Linked DNA regions of Caenorhabditis elegans. The protein of the gene in region 1 interacts with the protein of each later gene in a biochemical or structural test. Each region holds a gene or a part of one and is shown in the gene's direction. Other genes may lie near its edges.

The links. Proteins that work in one complex are often made in the same cells at the same time.
Region 2: of the proteins of gpr-1 (region 1) and gpa-16, one has a biochemical effect on the other in vitro, tested with the Caenorhabditis elegans proteins (one study listed by BioGRID).

Annotation. Positions count from the first base shown.
Region 1 is NC_003281.10:8,626,083-8,633,324, forward strand, and holds gpr-1 (G-protein regulator 1), read left to right. Parts: upstream 1-2,843; 5' UTR 2,844-2,874; coding exon 2,875-3,122; intron 3,123-3,173; coding exon 3,174-3,674; intron 3,675-3,724; coding exon 3,725-4,332; intron 4,333-4,384; coding exon 4,385-4,605; 3' UTR 4,606-4,694; downstream 4,695-7,242. Other genes in the region: polk-1 (DNA polymerase kappa), read right to left, coding at 323-658, 741-1,250, 1,301-1,656, 1,705-1,939, 2,008-2,160, 2,214-2,414; DnaJ homolog dnj-10, read left to right, coding at 5,093-5,186, 5,252-5,355, 5,407-5,487, 5,534-5,689, 5,792-6,082, 6,132-6,433, 6,485-6,708, 6,980-7,094 and 1 more. UniProt on the Caenorhabditis elegans protein: In the 1-cell embryo, probably together with gpr-2, controls nuclear rotation and spindle elongation during mitosis. Complex of gpr-1 and gpr-2, in association with lin-5, activates G-protein signaling to affect mitotic spindle force.
Region 2 is NC_003279.8:893,966-901,525, forward strand, and holds the start of gpa-16 (Guanine nucleotide-binding protein alpha-16 subunit), read left to right. Parts: upstream 1-3,320; 5' UTR 3,321-3,324; coding exon 3,325-3,390; intron 3,391-4,213; coding exon 4,214-4,384; intron 4,385-6,647; coding exon 6,648-6,835; intron 6,836-7,560. Other genes in the region: him-19 (FBD domain-containing protein), read right to left, coding at 537-664, 717-898, 959-1,134. UniProt on the Caenorhabditis elegans protein: Guanine nucleotide-binding proteins (G proteins) are involved as modulators or transducers in various transmembrane signaling systems. In the 1-cell embryo, probably together with goa-1, controls nuclear rotation and spindle elongation during mitosis.

The DNA of each region.
Region 1 (7,242 bases):
TTATCAAATTAGTGATATTCTCCTCTAGCCAACTAGTCTTCCTCCATTCATTTTTTTTCGTTTAACTTTTTCTCTCGACCAGATCTTATTTGAAATCGAAATACCTCAACATTCAGTTCTCCAAAAAAATCAAAATTTCCTCCACACACGTGTCTCCTCTTCAATGCTATATGAATTATCTCATGACTTTTCATTGTTTTTCTTTTTTGAATAAAGTTGATTTTCATTCAAACGATTCATGACAATATACACATGGATAACAAAAATTAGAAGGGGATGTATAGATTAATCACAGTTAGTAACAGTTAGAATTATATTCTTTTTAACCACTTTTCTTCCAAAATGAGTCGATTGTCACCATTTTCTTCGCTTTTGGTCTCTTCTCTTGAAGTTTTCGCTTTTTCGTAGAAGGTCTTTCTGGTTTCTGCGTTGATTTATTTTCCACAGAAACGCAAATTAACTCGGGTCCGTCATCGTTTTGCACTTTCAGAATACACTCATCGACGTGGCAGTTCATAACGTCTAAACGATTTTCGACATCAGTTCCACAAATGGGACAAGGACGAGTATCCATCATTATGACATCATCATCGTCGACGTTTTCCGATCCTTGTAGATTTTGAATTTGAAGTTTTTTCTCATTCCAAAACTCTGTGATCTGAAATAAAATGTCTCAAAAAAATAGAAGAAAACATTGCTTTATATTTATCAGTTATGGTTTTCAAAATTTTCTGACATACCGTTTTGCTTCTTTTTTTCTCATCTTCTTCAAATATCAATTGTGATAATCTGACTCCTAACAATCGAATTTCTTTTCCTTTTTCTTTTTCCAACAACTCCAGTGAGAACTTTTGAATATCTTCAAGTGACTTCACCACATCAGAAGGTGTCAACGATCTTGTGAGAACATCGAATGAAGATAATTTTAATTTTAGAGTTACAGTTTTTCCTCCGACAATTCCTGATTTACGAACATCTTCTTCAAGCATTCTACAGATTTCTTGATGCTCTTCTAGGAGGATGTTGAAATCCGAAGTTGGAGAAAAAGTTCTCTCAACTGAAATGCTTTTTCTTCGTGGATCCGATTCAGATGGACGACCTGGCAGTCCGAGAGCCGTTCGAAGGAAAGATTCTTGTGAGAGAGGCGTGAAACACAAAGGGTATAGGTTCTTCTTCAGATTCATATCACCAACAGTTTGAATATCCATTGCTTTCAGTTGAGCTTCGCATACACGACCAATTCCTCCAACCTAAAAAATTATCTAGGTAAAACTAGAAGGTTATGCTTTAATAGTCTCACCTTACGAATCGGTAAATCCTTCAAAAACTCCATAATCGCGTTTTTATCATTTTCTAACACATATTGACCATTTGGTTTGTTCAAATCAGAACAAATCTTAGCGAGCATAAAGTTAGATGCGATTCCAGCAGAACATGTTAATCCCGTGAGTTGTTCAACTCGAAATCGAATTTCTCGAACAGCCTCCTCTCGTCCAGTTCCGAACTCCACATGGTCGTAGTAGATTTTCCGCGATTTTTCGCATTTTGGACAGATCGATTCTTCGATTTTCAAGTCTTCCAAAGTATTTTCATTCTCGTCGAAACGGGGTAACCAACATGGACAATCTCCGCCGAATCTGTGACGCTTGAAGGTTTCTAGTAAGCAAATAGTTTTTTGTTAATAATCAAATCTAAATCACTAACTTTTTTCTGTATTACTTGCCACATAGTCTGTCAAATCTATAAATGCCTCATCCAATGACATCATTCCAACATCCGAATCGTATTCCATGAAAATTTGTGAAAATTGGCGACTGACTTTAGTGTATTTAGGGTAATTTCCTGGAACAATCGTTAGACTCGGACAAAGTTTATTTGAGATGAAGCCAGGCATTCCAGCACGGACTCCAAAACGGCGAGCCAAGTAGTTGGATGTGCTCTGAAAGAATAGATTTAAAGCTTTTCCGAAATCGAAAATTTACTTTTCAAATTGAGTTAGGTGCTTACCAGCATTGCCGATGAGCCTACGGCCATAGGAACTGTTCTCAGTGCAGGATTATCTCTCATTTCAACTGCGGCAAAATAAGCATCCATATCTATACAAACACAGTCTCTTGATAAATCTCTAGATGATTCCAGTTTCATCTCAAGATTCTCCATCTGAAAATTGGAAATTTGCTCTAAGTAAATTTATTAGCTTTTAAAATACATACCAGTATCTCAGATTTTTGTCTTTCTTCTCTGGTTGCTGTTTGCAAACGATTTTTGATTTCTAAAACTTTCTCTTCAATTCTTGATTGTTGTTTTTTGGAAAACGACGAGTAGGACGCTGATGTGTTTTCTTCGATGACTTTCGTGATTTTCTCCTTATCCAGTCCATTCATTCCAGCTTTATTATCGTTGAAAGTCAGCATTTTTCACGAAAAAGAGCCGGATTTTGAAATTCGCGGAGAAACTCCACTGATTGTGAGTGTGCAAATGCGCGTAATGGTGTACTTACGTACATCGGCAACACATTTGACGACATATCAGAAAGCGGCGCCAAATTAGAAGTTGAGTGCGCGAGAAAAAACTACGCGTTAACCGCCAATTTTCACTTCCCCACAGATCTGTCTCGAGATTCTCGAGTCATTTTTCAAGTTTATTTGTTTGTCAGCGGTTGTTTTATTGAAGATTTGTAAAATTTATAACAAAATGTGCAATAGTCTATTAAACCTCGTGAGATATTTGAAGAAACTTTCCCCGTTTTAAATATTTCGTGTATTCGTGGAGATCGCGGGAATGTTTTGCCTGTTTCCGTAAAATTCCTCTATTTCTTTTATTTTTGCTTGCAATTTTCGATTCATTTCAGAAGTTTCCACATTCGCAAAACGAATGGACGTCTCTTATTACGATGGTCCCAAGGATGAAGTCGCCGAAGCAATGCTGAAAAGCGCGGTGACGGCCATGAGATTGGGACAATACGAGGATGGAAAAGGACGCTTAGAGGAGATAATGGAGTTCGGAACCTCAAATTTTCAACTACTTGGTACAATCTACATGTATTACGGAAGAGTGTGCAGGCATTTGAACCATGATGCCAAGGCCTTGGAGTTTTTCGAACATGAGTTGAACATGTTCAAGTAAGTGAATCACAAAAATGAGCTGGACATTCTATAACCTTAATTTTTCAGATTGATCTTCAACTACCCAGAAGCATGTGATTCCACACGTCGCATCGTCGAGCAGGCACTCAAAATGGGAAAGTTCCCCAAGGCTCGACGGTTTGCTGAGGATCTCATTGATTACACCAGCAATAAGAAGAACGGAGAGAAGTATATCGGTCAAGCTCGAATTTTGTTCGCTTCCGTGTGCCTCGAAGGATGTGAAAGAGACGTCGAGAGTAATCAAGATGAGAAGAAGAAGCTTTTGTCAATATGTGCTGAACAGATTGCAGCCGTGAAATTGTTCAACGAGAATAATACGGAAGGAGCTGTGTCTGAGACCAAAATCATGTTACTTGAGGCGAAATGCTTGTCACTAGACGAAAAATACGAGGAATCGCGTCGCAAGTATCAAGAATGCATCGATTTTGCCATCAAAACAGACCAGTTTGAAGCAGTTCACATCGCCTATTACGACAAGGCTCTATATGCTGAGACAGATCTTCTTTTCTTTATTATCAGAGATCTCAGGTAATTTTTAGTTTTAACGATTAATAAAAATATCAATTCTTTATTCACAGAAGTGCTCTCTTCTACGCCACGAAATTCGGAAAAGAGCGAGATGTAGTCAAATATAAGTCGAAGCTATCCGAAGAGATGCTGAGAAATGGCGAATTCCACGAAGCATATCTCTACGGATTGGAAGCGCTTGTATCGATTCGGAAGCTTGGATTGAACGAATACATTGGAGATGTGTTGCTTACAATCGCAAAGTGCCTCATTGCACTTGGAAAAAGACGCCAAGCTGCTTATTTTATCATCTTGGGGAGTGTTCTGACCATCAACCAAAACAGTTTCAAACTGTTCTACGAGCAGATCGACGTGGCGATGAATCAAGAGAGAAGCGAAACGGCAACTGATCAAGATGTATGCCTCGCAATTGATTCGTCTCCTGATCCGACATCCTCGAATGACATGATTAATAAGTTCGTCGTCGAACTGGAGCACGCAACAAATGTGGAAACCTGGGAAATGATTGTCAACGGAATCATTGACGACCAGAAGAAACCAGTGGCGATCGAAAAGAAAGAGAACGAGGAACCCGTAGACATGATGGATCTCATTTTCAGTATGAGCTCACGTATGGATGATCAAAGAACTGAACTGCCTGCTGCCAGATTCATTCCGCGTAAGAAATGTTATAAATAAGCGTATAAGTATGCAAATTTATATTTTTCCAGCTCGTCCAGTGTCATCGGCATCGAAAAAGACTACAAAGAGTCACAGAATCCTCCCTGGACTCCGTGCCAATTGGACAAAAGTGCAGTCGATGAAGTTCGATGGTCACACAATGAATAGGATCCTGAAGAGGTCGAAGAAAAGCAAATCGTCATTGGATTCTACAAATTCGATGCAGGGCGATGATACTCGAAGCGATGATGTGACAATGACGTCCAAATAGGACCATTATTTTTTCTGTCAAATAATACAATCAAACTTTCTTTATTTATTTTTTTTTTACTTTCTTTCAGTAAATATTATTATCATTTTAGTGGTTCTTTTATTTTATTTGCTGGTCAGAAAAGCTGATTTTTTCAATTAGCGAAAATCCATCAAGTCATATTTCTATAGACTCTTTACTACATACGTTGATGACTTTCGTGATTTTCTCCTTATCCGGTTCATCCATTCCAGCTTTATTATTGTTGAAAGTAAATAAGCATTGTTTCCCGAAAAAGAGCCGGATTTTGAAATTCGCGGAGAAAAAGTTGAAAATTGAAAAATCCAAACGATGCTCCGATGTTCCGTCCGAAATGTGTGTTTTACCGTGACGGTGTTTGCAGACAGCTTGAAAAAACATTTATTTTTTTATTTTAATTTTATTAATTTATTATTTATTTTAGAATGTTCTATATTTTAAAATGTGAATTTGTTTCAGGGTACTCGGAATGTTTGTCTTAAACCGTTCAAGCGGGCTCATTCATCGATCTGTACCTTTATTAGCTCAAGTATCCACGCCTACGACTTCCACAACAAAATTAGGTTAATAATTCTCCATTTGGTGATAAACCAATTCTTTTCTGCTTTTTTAAAACATTATGTTACAGCTCAACTTCACACAACGCATGCACTAAGCAAAGAAGATTATTATAAGACTTTGGGTGTCGACAAAAAATCTGATGCAAAAGCAATCAAAAAGGCTTATTTCCAGGTAATATAAGTTTTTATCGAATACTTTGTAAGTATAAATACGTTATTTCAGCTTGCCAAGAAATACCATCCAGATGTAAACAAAACAAAAGAAGCGCAGACGAAATTTCAAGAGATTTCTGAAGCATATGAGGTATTTTCAACAAACAATAGAGCAGGCTCGAATCAAAAATATTAAGGTACTTTCCGATGACACAAAACGTCAAGAATATGATGCATACGGAAGCGGAGGTGGCCCAGCTGGTGGAAGAGGTGGTGCTGGAGGTTTCCACCACCATGGAAATGTTGATGTTAACGAAATTTTCAGAAGAGCATTTGGTGGAGGGGGTGGAATGGTGAGTTCTCCTTATGAATTCTTCTGAATATTATATTAATTATATAATTTTTATTGTAATTAATAAAAACTACAGTTTTATTTATTTTTTCGCTGATTCCAGGGTGGCTTTAATTTTGATAATTTTGCCCAAAGTGCTTTCGGACATTCTGCTGCTCAGGAAATGGTTATGGATATTTCGTTCGAAGAAGCTGTCCGAGGAGCCACCAAAAATGTTTCTGTAAACGTAGTTGAAGATTGTCTGAAATGTCACGGAACTCAAGTTGAACCAGGTCACAAAAAGACGTCGTGTCCGTATTGTAACGGAACTGGAGCAGTTTCTCAACGTCTTCAGGGTGGTTTCTTCTATCAAACAACTTGTAATCGATGCAGAGGAAGTGGACATTATAATAAGGTAGAGTTATTGATTTTTCTTTTATTGTAGCTTTTAATTTTTTCTTCAGAATCCTTGTCAAGAATGTGAAGGTGAAGGTCAAACCGTTCAACGACGTCAAGTATCATTCAATGTGCCAGCTGGAACTAATAATGGAGATAGTTTGAAGTTCCAAGTGGGGAAAAATCAATTATTTGTTCGTTTCAACGTTGCACCATCTTTGAAATTCCGACGTGAGAAAGATGATATTCACTGTGACGTAGATATTTCTCTGGCTCAAGCTGTTCTTGGTGGTACTGTAAAGGTTCCTGGAATTAATGGAGATACATATGTTCATATTCCGGCAGGAACTGGCAGTCACACTAAAATGAGGTAATAAATCTCCAAAAATTGGAACTTAAATATTCATTAAACAATTTTCAGATTAACAGGAAAAGGAGTAAAACGATTGCATTCTTACGGAAATGGAGATCAATATATGCATATTAAAGTAACGGTTCCGAAATATTTGACAGCCGAACAGAAACAAATTATGTTGGCTTGGGCTGCGACGGAACAGCTGAAAGATGGAACCATCAAAGGATTGGAGAAAAATCAGAAAACCGAGGAGAAGGAGACGAAGAAAAATGAGGAAAAGAAGTCTGAAGGTGAAAAAATATGATTTCAATTTGAAACAAAGGTTTTATCAAAAAGTTGTCTTTAAAAAATCGAGAAATTACCAAAAAAAATTCATTAATTTTTTTTTTTTAAACCGACATTATTGGTTGTAAAGATTCAAAAAGTTTGTAAAATTTTAAAGTTGTTTGAAAAATACCTGAAAGTCTTGTTTTTTTTTTTGCATTCTGATGCACTTGTAATCTCAATTTTTCCCCAAAACTGATTTTTGATTCTTTTCAATCCAAAATTACTAATTTATAGGTGCATCAGAATCACAAAAACGGAGAAGTGAGCCAGTAGCTGAGAATGCAGAAACTATTGACGAAAATCAAGAAAACGAGGGATTTTTCGAAAAAATTAAACGAAAAATTTTCGGGTAAATATATAAATTTCTAAACAAAAATTAAATATTTTTGTTTCATTTGTATTAATTGAAATTTTCCAGATAAGTCCGAGGAGAAGTCCGAGTCAAAAGAAGAGCCAAAAAACGAAGAATCTAGTGAAACCCCCGAGAAAAAAGCTGC
Region 2 (7,560 bases), on another chromosome or scaffold:
AAAATTCGATATTTTTAGCAAAAAGAATCCGTTAATTTTAGCCAAAAATCCGTTAATTTTAGCCAAAAATCCGTTAATTTTAGCCAAAAATTCGATATTTTTAGCAAAAAAAATCCGTTAATTTTAGGCAAAGAACCGTTAATTTTAGCCAAAAATTCGATATTTTTAGCCAAAAAATCCATTAATTTTAGCCAAAAATTGCTAATTTTAGCAAAAAAATTCGCTATTTTTAGCCAAAAAATCCGTTAATTTTAGCCAAAAAATTCGCTATTTTTAGCCAAAAAACTGTTAATTTTAGCCAAAAATCCGTTGATTTTAGCCAAACAATTAGTTATTTTTAGCCAAAAAATCCGTAAATTTTAGCCAAAAAATCTGTTATTTTTAGTCAAAAAATTCGTGAATTTTAACCGGAAAATCCGTTATTTTTACTACAAAAATAGCGAATTTTCGCCAATTTTAACCAAAATCTCTCGATTTTTTGTCAAAAATGCACCAAATGTGCGCTTTTTTTCGTTTTTTTTTGGCATTTTCCCTACTTCAATAGCGAGTTTGCAGGTCGTCGTGCAAATTTTGACTTCGATTTCAACAGAATCCAGCAGAATTCGATCATCAGTCATACATTCCAAACAATTTTCAGCATCCTTTATGGGCACTTCGATGAAATCTGAGAGAGCAAACACTTTAGAATTGCCAGGGTTTACAGCTCTTTTAATCACCATCCAACTGGCACGCGACGTCCATTTTTGGCTGCCCATTCACCCGCTCGCCGCCACCCTTGCAAATGTTGTGAAATTTGATGACAAACGGTTCAGAGTACTCGAAATTCTCCAGATCGCCGTGCTCGACGAGCTCGTTGTTCGATGGTGCTCTTTCCGGCGTTCTTTTCCATCTGAAACTGCTGTTTTTCCTTTTTTTTTTTGTCGCAAAATCTTTTTTTTCACCGAATTTTTCCACCAACCTGAACAGCGAATCTTCGAAAAGAGACGAAGAATTCGATTTTGGGCTTTCCAAATTTGAAAAATTCAAAGAAGTTGTCACAGAACTAGCCATTTCGAAGTTGAAATGATTAAAAATCAAAAACAAAAAATTTCGATAAAAATCAATGTCCGAGAGGAGTACACGCTTGGGAACCATGCGCGGGTCTCGCACGGAAGAGACGAATTGAAGTACGGTAGCTCGTAAATCCTGTTCCACGATTGATTTTTTTTTAATTTTTGATCAATTTTTTCGATTTTATCCCAGAAGTTCTTGAAAATTATCCGTTTTTTTGCAATTTTTTCGGAAAAATGCTCTAAAATTTAAGATTTTTAGCATTTTTTTCCGAAAAAAATGTTTTAAAATTGCAGATTTTTAGCATTTTTTCACAAAAAATGCACTAAAATTAAGATTCTTAGCATTTTTGCGGAAAAAATGCTAAAAATCTTGCAAAGACTGAAAAAATTCGAATTTGTTGTAATATTGCATGTTTTCCGAGGTTTTACATCAAATATGTGTAGTTTTCCTTGAAATTTGACGTTTTTCACTGAAAAATTCTACAAAAATAAGCATTTCTGAGCTCTTTTGTCGCAAAAGTTGATGAAAATCGCCAATTTTTCAATAAATATTGCACAGAAACCGTCAGATTTTTAGCATTTTTTCGGAAAAATGCACTAAAATTTTAGATTATTAGCAATTTTTCAGAAAAATGCTCTAAAATTTAAGATTTTTAGCCCTTTTTTTCAGAAAAATTCACTAAAATGCAAGATTTTAATCATTTTTTTGCAAGAAAAATGCTCTAAAATCTAAGTTTTTTAGCATTTTTTTCGGAAAAATGTTTGAAAATCCCTTCTTTAACGCCTTTTTCGCACTAAAAGATGCTCAAACTAGTTTAAACTTTCAGAGTTTTCCCATGCTTTTGCCCCCTCCACTTCACAAGAAACAAGAAACAAATACGGCGGGAAAAAAGCGAAAATTCGCGGAAAACATCATTTTCAATGCATTTTTCATCGCGAAAATTGCCGAATTTCATTAAAAATGGCCAATTTTTGTGCCAGTTTTCCCAATTAATCATGTATTTTCGATTAACTCGAAGCCCCTGCGCAGAGAAAAACACAAAAATGTTGCAATTGTTTGTGTAAAGCACTTCTCTGCGCGTCTGCGGCATCCGATATGACGAGCAATATATATCTTTTTTCTGGGAGCCTTTTATTTTAAATTTATCATTTTTCATTTAGTTTTTGAGAAAAAAATTCCCCCAAAATTAACCTAAAAGCCTTGAAAATGTGAATTTTGAGTGAAATTTGACGTTTTTCAGCGAAAAATTCTCAATTTTTAGTGCATTTTTGCCGGAAAAATGCTAATAATCTTGAATTTTAGTGCTTAGCGGAAAAAAAATTCAAAATGAAAATGTCGAATTTGAAATAAAATGCTTTAAAATTTAAGATTTTTAGCATTTTTCCCGAGAAAAGCTAAAAATCTTAATTTTTATAGCTTTTTTGTTGAAAAAATGCTAAAAATCTTAAATTTTAGATCATTTTATTTCAAATTCGACATTTTCATTTTGTATTTAAGAAAAAATAACCTCAAAGTCTGAAAAATATCGAATTTTGAGTGAAATTTGACATTTTTCAGCGAAAAATTCTCATTTTTCCGGAAAAAATGCTAAAAATCTTGAATTTTAGTGCATTTTTCCAGAAAAAATGCTAAAAATCTCAATTTTTAGTGCATTTTCCCGGAAAAATGCTAAAAATCTTAAATTTTAGAGCATTTTCCAGAAAAAATGCTTAAAATCTTGAATTTCAGAGCATTCTTAATGAAAAATGCTAAAAATCTTAAATTTTAGAGCATTTTTCTCGAAAAAATGCTTAAAATCTTGAATTTCAGAGCATTTTTTTCGGAAAAATGCTAAAAATCTCAATTTTTAGTGCATTTTTCTGAAAAAATACTAAAAATCTTGAATTTTTAGAGCATTTTCGCTGAAAAATAATAAAAATTTTAAATTTTAGAGCATTTTTCCGAAAAAAAAAACGCTAAAAATCTTGTAATAACTGACAAATTTCGAATTTTGAGTAAAATGGCATGTTTTTTGAGGTTTTTCCTTGAAATTTGACGTTTTTCACCTAAAAATTCGACAAAAATGAGCATTTCTGAGCTCTTATATTGCAAAAATTGACAAAAATCGTCAATTTTTCAATAAAAATTGCCCAAAAACCTTAAAATATTCTGAAAAAAGCCGAAAAAACCCCATTTTTTAGCCATTTTCTACAGAATTTTACATTTTTCTCAACTTTCTTCACCTAAAATCGCCGATATTATTCACATAAAATTCCCTTTTTTTTCAGCGCAATGGGGTGTATTATGAGCCAGGAGGATGAAGCAGCGAAACGAAGATCCAAGAAGATTGATCGATTGGTAAAAATTGGGGATTTTTCGTTGAAAAAACTCGATTTTTTGTGAAAAAATATAGAAAAATCATCAAAACTGCTTCAAAAACCGAAAAATTTCACTAAAAACTAGAATTTTTGCTCGAAAACCTCAAAAAATCGCAAAATTTGCAGTGAAAACTAGATTTTTATTTTTAAAAAATTCAAAAAGTTCATAAAAATCAATAAAAAAATCGGATTTTTTTTCTTAAAAAATCTGGAAAACTGTCTAAAAATCTACTCAAAATCAGTTTTTTTTGTAGAAAATCTGAAAAATAGTCTAAAAAATTAATAAAAATCGATTTTTTGGGAGAAAATTTGAAAAATTACGAAAAAAATCAATAAAAAATCGGTTTTTTGGGAAAAACCCTGAAAAATTGTCTAAAAATCTATAAAAAATTGGATTTTTTAAATAGAAAATCTGAAAAACTGCCAAAAAATCAACAAAAAATCGATTTTTGTGTGAGAAAACCTGAAAAATTATCAAAAAATTGGTTTTTATCTAGAAAATCTGAAAAATTACCTAAAAAGCAATAAAAAATCGGTTTTTTTTCTGGAAAAACTGTAAAATAGCCTAAAAATCAATTTAAAAAAAGTTTTTTTTTTTGTAGAAAACCTGAAAAATTATCAATAAAAACCACGAAAAACAGTTTTTCGCTTATAAAAAGTCCAAAAATCCCAAAATTTGCATTAAAAACTAGATTTTTATTTCAAAAAAATTCAAAAATTGCCTGAAAATCAATAAAATTGTTGTTTTTTTTTGGAAAAAAAAACCCTGAAAAATTGGCTAAAAATCCCAAATTTTTTTGCAGCTCAAAGAAGACGGCGAGAACTCAATGCGAACCATCAAGCTTCTGCTCCTGGGAGCCGGCGAGTCTGGAAAATCGACGATTTTAAAGCAGATGCGTATCATTCACGACGTCGGATATACGACTGAAGAGAGAAAAGTGTTCAGAGGCGTCGTTTATGGAAATATTATTTTGGTCAGTGCTCCGATGCACTGAAAAATGACAGGAAATTGGCAATTTTGACCAAAATTCGTGGATTTTAACCAAAAAATCCGTTAATTTTAATCAAAAATCGGCTAATTTTAGCCAAAAAATTCGCTATTTTAACCAAAAAATCCGTTGATTTTAGTCAAAAAATTCGCTATTTTTAGCCAAAAAATCGCTATTTTTAGCCAAAAAATCCGTTAATTTTAGCCAAAAATTTCGCTATTTTTAGCCAAAAAATCCGTTAATTTTAGGCAAAAAATCCGTTAATTTTAGTCAAAAAATCCGCTATTTTAACCAAAAAATCCGCTATTTTAACCAAAAAATCCGTTAATTTTAGCCAAAAAATTCGCTATTTTTAGCCAAAAAATCCGTTAATTTTAGCCAAAAAATTCGCTATTTTTAGCCAAAAAATCCGTTAATTTTAGCCAAAAAATTCGCTATTTTTAGCCAAAAAATCCGTTAATTTTAGCCAAAAAATTCGCTATTTTTAGCCAAAAAATTCGCTATTTTTAGCCAAAAAATCCGTTAATTTTAGCCAAAAAATTCGCTATTTTTAGCCAAAAAATTCACCAATTTTCGTTTAAGATTCTCCAATTTTTGACAAAAAAATTCACCGAATTTGCTCAAAATTCTCCCTTTTTTGGCTAAAAAATGCATAAATTACACAATTAAACCAAAAATTACCCAATTTCGCCCAAAAACTCTAATTTTTACCAAAAATTCTCCTATTTTTTGTTGAAAATTCACCAATTTTTTTGCCAAATTTTAACAGAAAAATCTATAAAATATCAGGCGAAAATAACCTAATTTTGGTCAAAAATTCACCGATTTTTGTTCAAAATTCTTCAATTTTACCCAATATCCACCAAATTTTAACCAAAAAAGTCTAAAAAATTATTCAAAAAATCCCTAATTTTGGCCCAAAATTCTCCATTTTTACTCAAAAATTCTCTCTTTTTAACCAAAAAATCTAGAATATTAGGTGAAAAATGCCTAATTTTGGCTAAAAATTCACCGATTTTTGACAAAAAAAACCTCCAATTTCAGCTTAAAACTCTCTGATTTTTACCAAAAAAATCTAAAATATTAGGCGAAAAATCACTAATTTCGGCTAAAAAATCACCAATTTTTGACAAAAGAAACTCCAATTCCAACAAAAAATTCACAAAATTTACTCAAAAATTGTCTGTTTTTCACAAAAAAAAAACCTACAATATTAGGAGAAAATTCACAAATTTTGGCCAAAAAATCCCTAATTTTGGCCGAAAAATTTGCCAATTTTGTTCAAAATTCTCCAATTTTCGACTAAAAAAACCTGCCATATTCAGCAAAAAGTTCACCAAATTTACTCAAAAATTCAAAAAAAATCTAGAATATTAGGCGAAAAATCCCTAATTTTGTCCAAAAATTCACCGATTTTTGACAAAAAAAACTCTAATTTCAGCAGAAACTTCACCAAATCATAGCCAAAAATTCACTGTTTTTTACCAAAAAAATAGAATATTAAGAGAAAATCCCTAAATTTGTCCAAAAAATTAAACAAATTATAGCCAAAAATGCTCTGTTTTTTACCAAAAATTCTAGAATATTAGGTAAAAAATCCCTAATTTTTCCCAAAAAATTCACCGAATTTACTCCAAAATGCTCTGTTTTTGACAAAAAAAAACTCTAATTCCAGCACAAAATTTACCAAATTATAGCCAAAAATGCTCTTTTTTTTCCAAAAAAAATCTAAAATATTAGGCGAAAAATCCCTAATTTTGTCCAAAAATTCACCGATTTTTGACAAAAAAAACTCTAATTTCAGCAGAAACTTCACCAAATCATAGCCAAAAATTCACTGTTTTTTACCAAAAAAATAGAATATTAAGAGAAAATCCCTAAATTTGTCCAAAAAATTAAACAAATTATAGCCAAAAATGCTCTGTTTTTTACCAAAAATTCTAGAATATTAGGTAAAAAATCCCTAATTTTTCCCAAAAAATTCACCGAATTTACTCCAAAATGCTCTGTTTTTGACAAAAAAAAACTCTAATTCCAGCACAAAATTTACCAAATTATAGCCAAAAATGCTCTTTTTTTTCCAAAAAAAATCTAAAATATTAGGCGAAAAATCCCTAATTTTGGCCAAAAAAATTACACCAATTTTCCCCAATTTCAGCTTAAAATGTTCAATTTCTAACCAAAAAACCCCCAAATTTTAACCCAAAAATTCCCTCGAATTTCACCCCAAAACCGTCCAATTTTCCAGTCTCTCAACGCCATCATCCACGCTATGGAGCAGTTAAAAATCAGCTTCACCACACTCGATCACGAATCAGATGCCCGAAAGCTTCTAATGTTCAGCACAACAGGCGAAGAGGATGAGCTGCCCGAAGAGCTCGTCGTGCTCATGAAGAGTGTTTGGTCCGATTCGGGAATTCAGAAAGCGCTCGAAAGGTGGCGAAATTTCGCTGAAAATTGAGAAAATTCGAGGGATTTTCGCTGAAAATCGAGAAATTTCGGTGGAAATTAGCTTATTTCCATGAAAAAATCGTTAAAATCCCAGAAAATTGCGATTTTGGACTATTTTTGAGCATTTTTCGCGTTTTTTCCATGAAAAATTCAATGAAATCGATTTTTTAGGTCATATTCGCTGAAAATTACCGCTTTTTTCGATGAAAAATTCGTTGATATTCGTTGAAAATTATCTATTAGAGCTAATTAAAATTTAAAATTCCAAAAAAAAAAATATTTTAAAATAATCAATCGAATTATTTTTTGCTCACACTTTCAAAAACCGCTAAAAATTCTAAAAAAAAAATTTTGGAGCCCCTTTTCCGCTAGAAAATAGCTTTTTTTCCCTCAAAATCCGGGAAAATTCAGAAATATTTAATTTTTTGGCTATTTCTGACTCTTATTCCCACACAAAAATAGTTTTACCAAAAAAAAACAATTTTTGTCAAAAATTCGAAAAAAAAATTTCTGGGAAATATTTTTAAATGACTCTAAATTTTCCCCTGTACCCGAATATCGATGTGAAAAAATTCAGAAAAATTTTCCGCGATTTTATATGATTTTTTGAAAATTGGACAAATTTCAGTTTTCCCCCCTAATTCCTATTTGAGTTACCGCCAATTTGATTTGTTCGATGGACTTGCACATTTTTGAATTAATCTATTTTA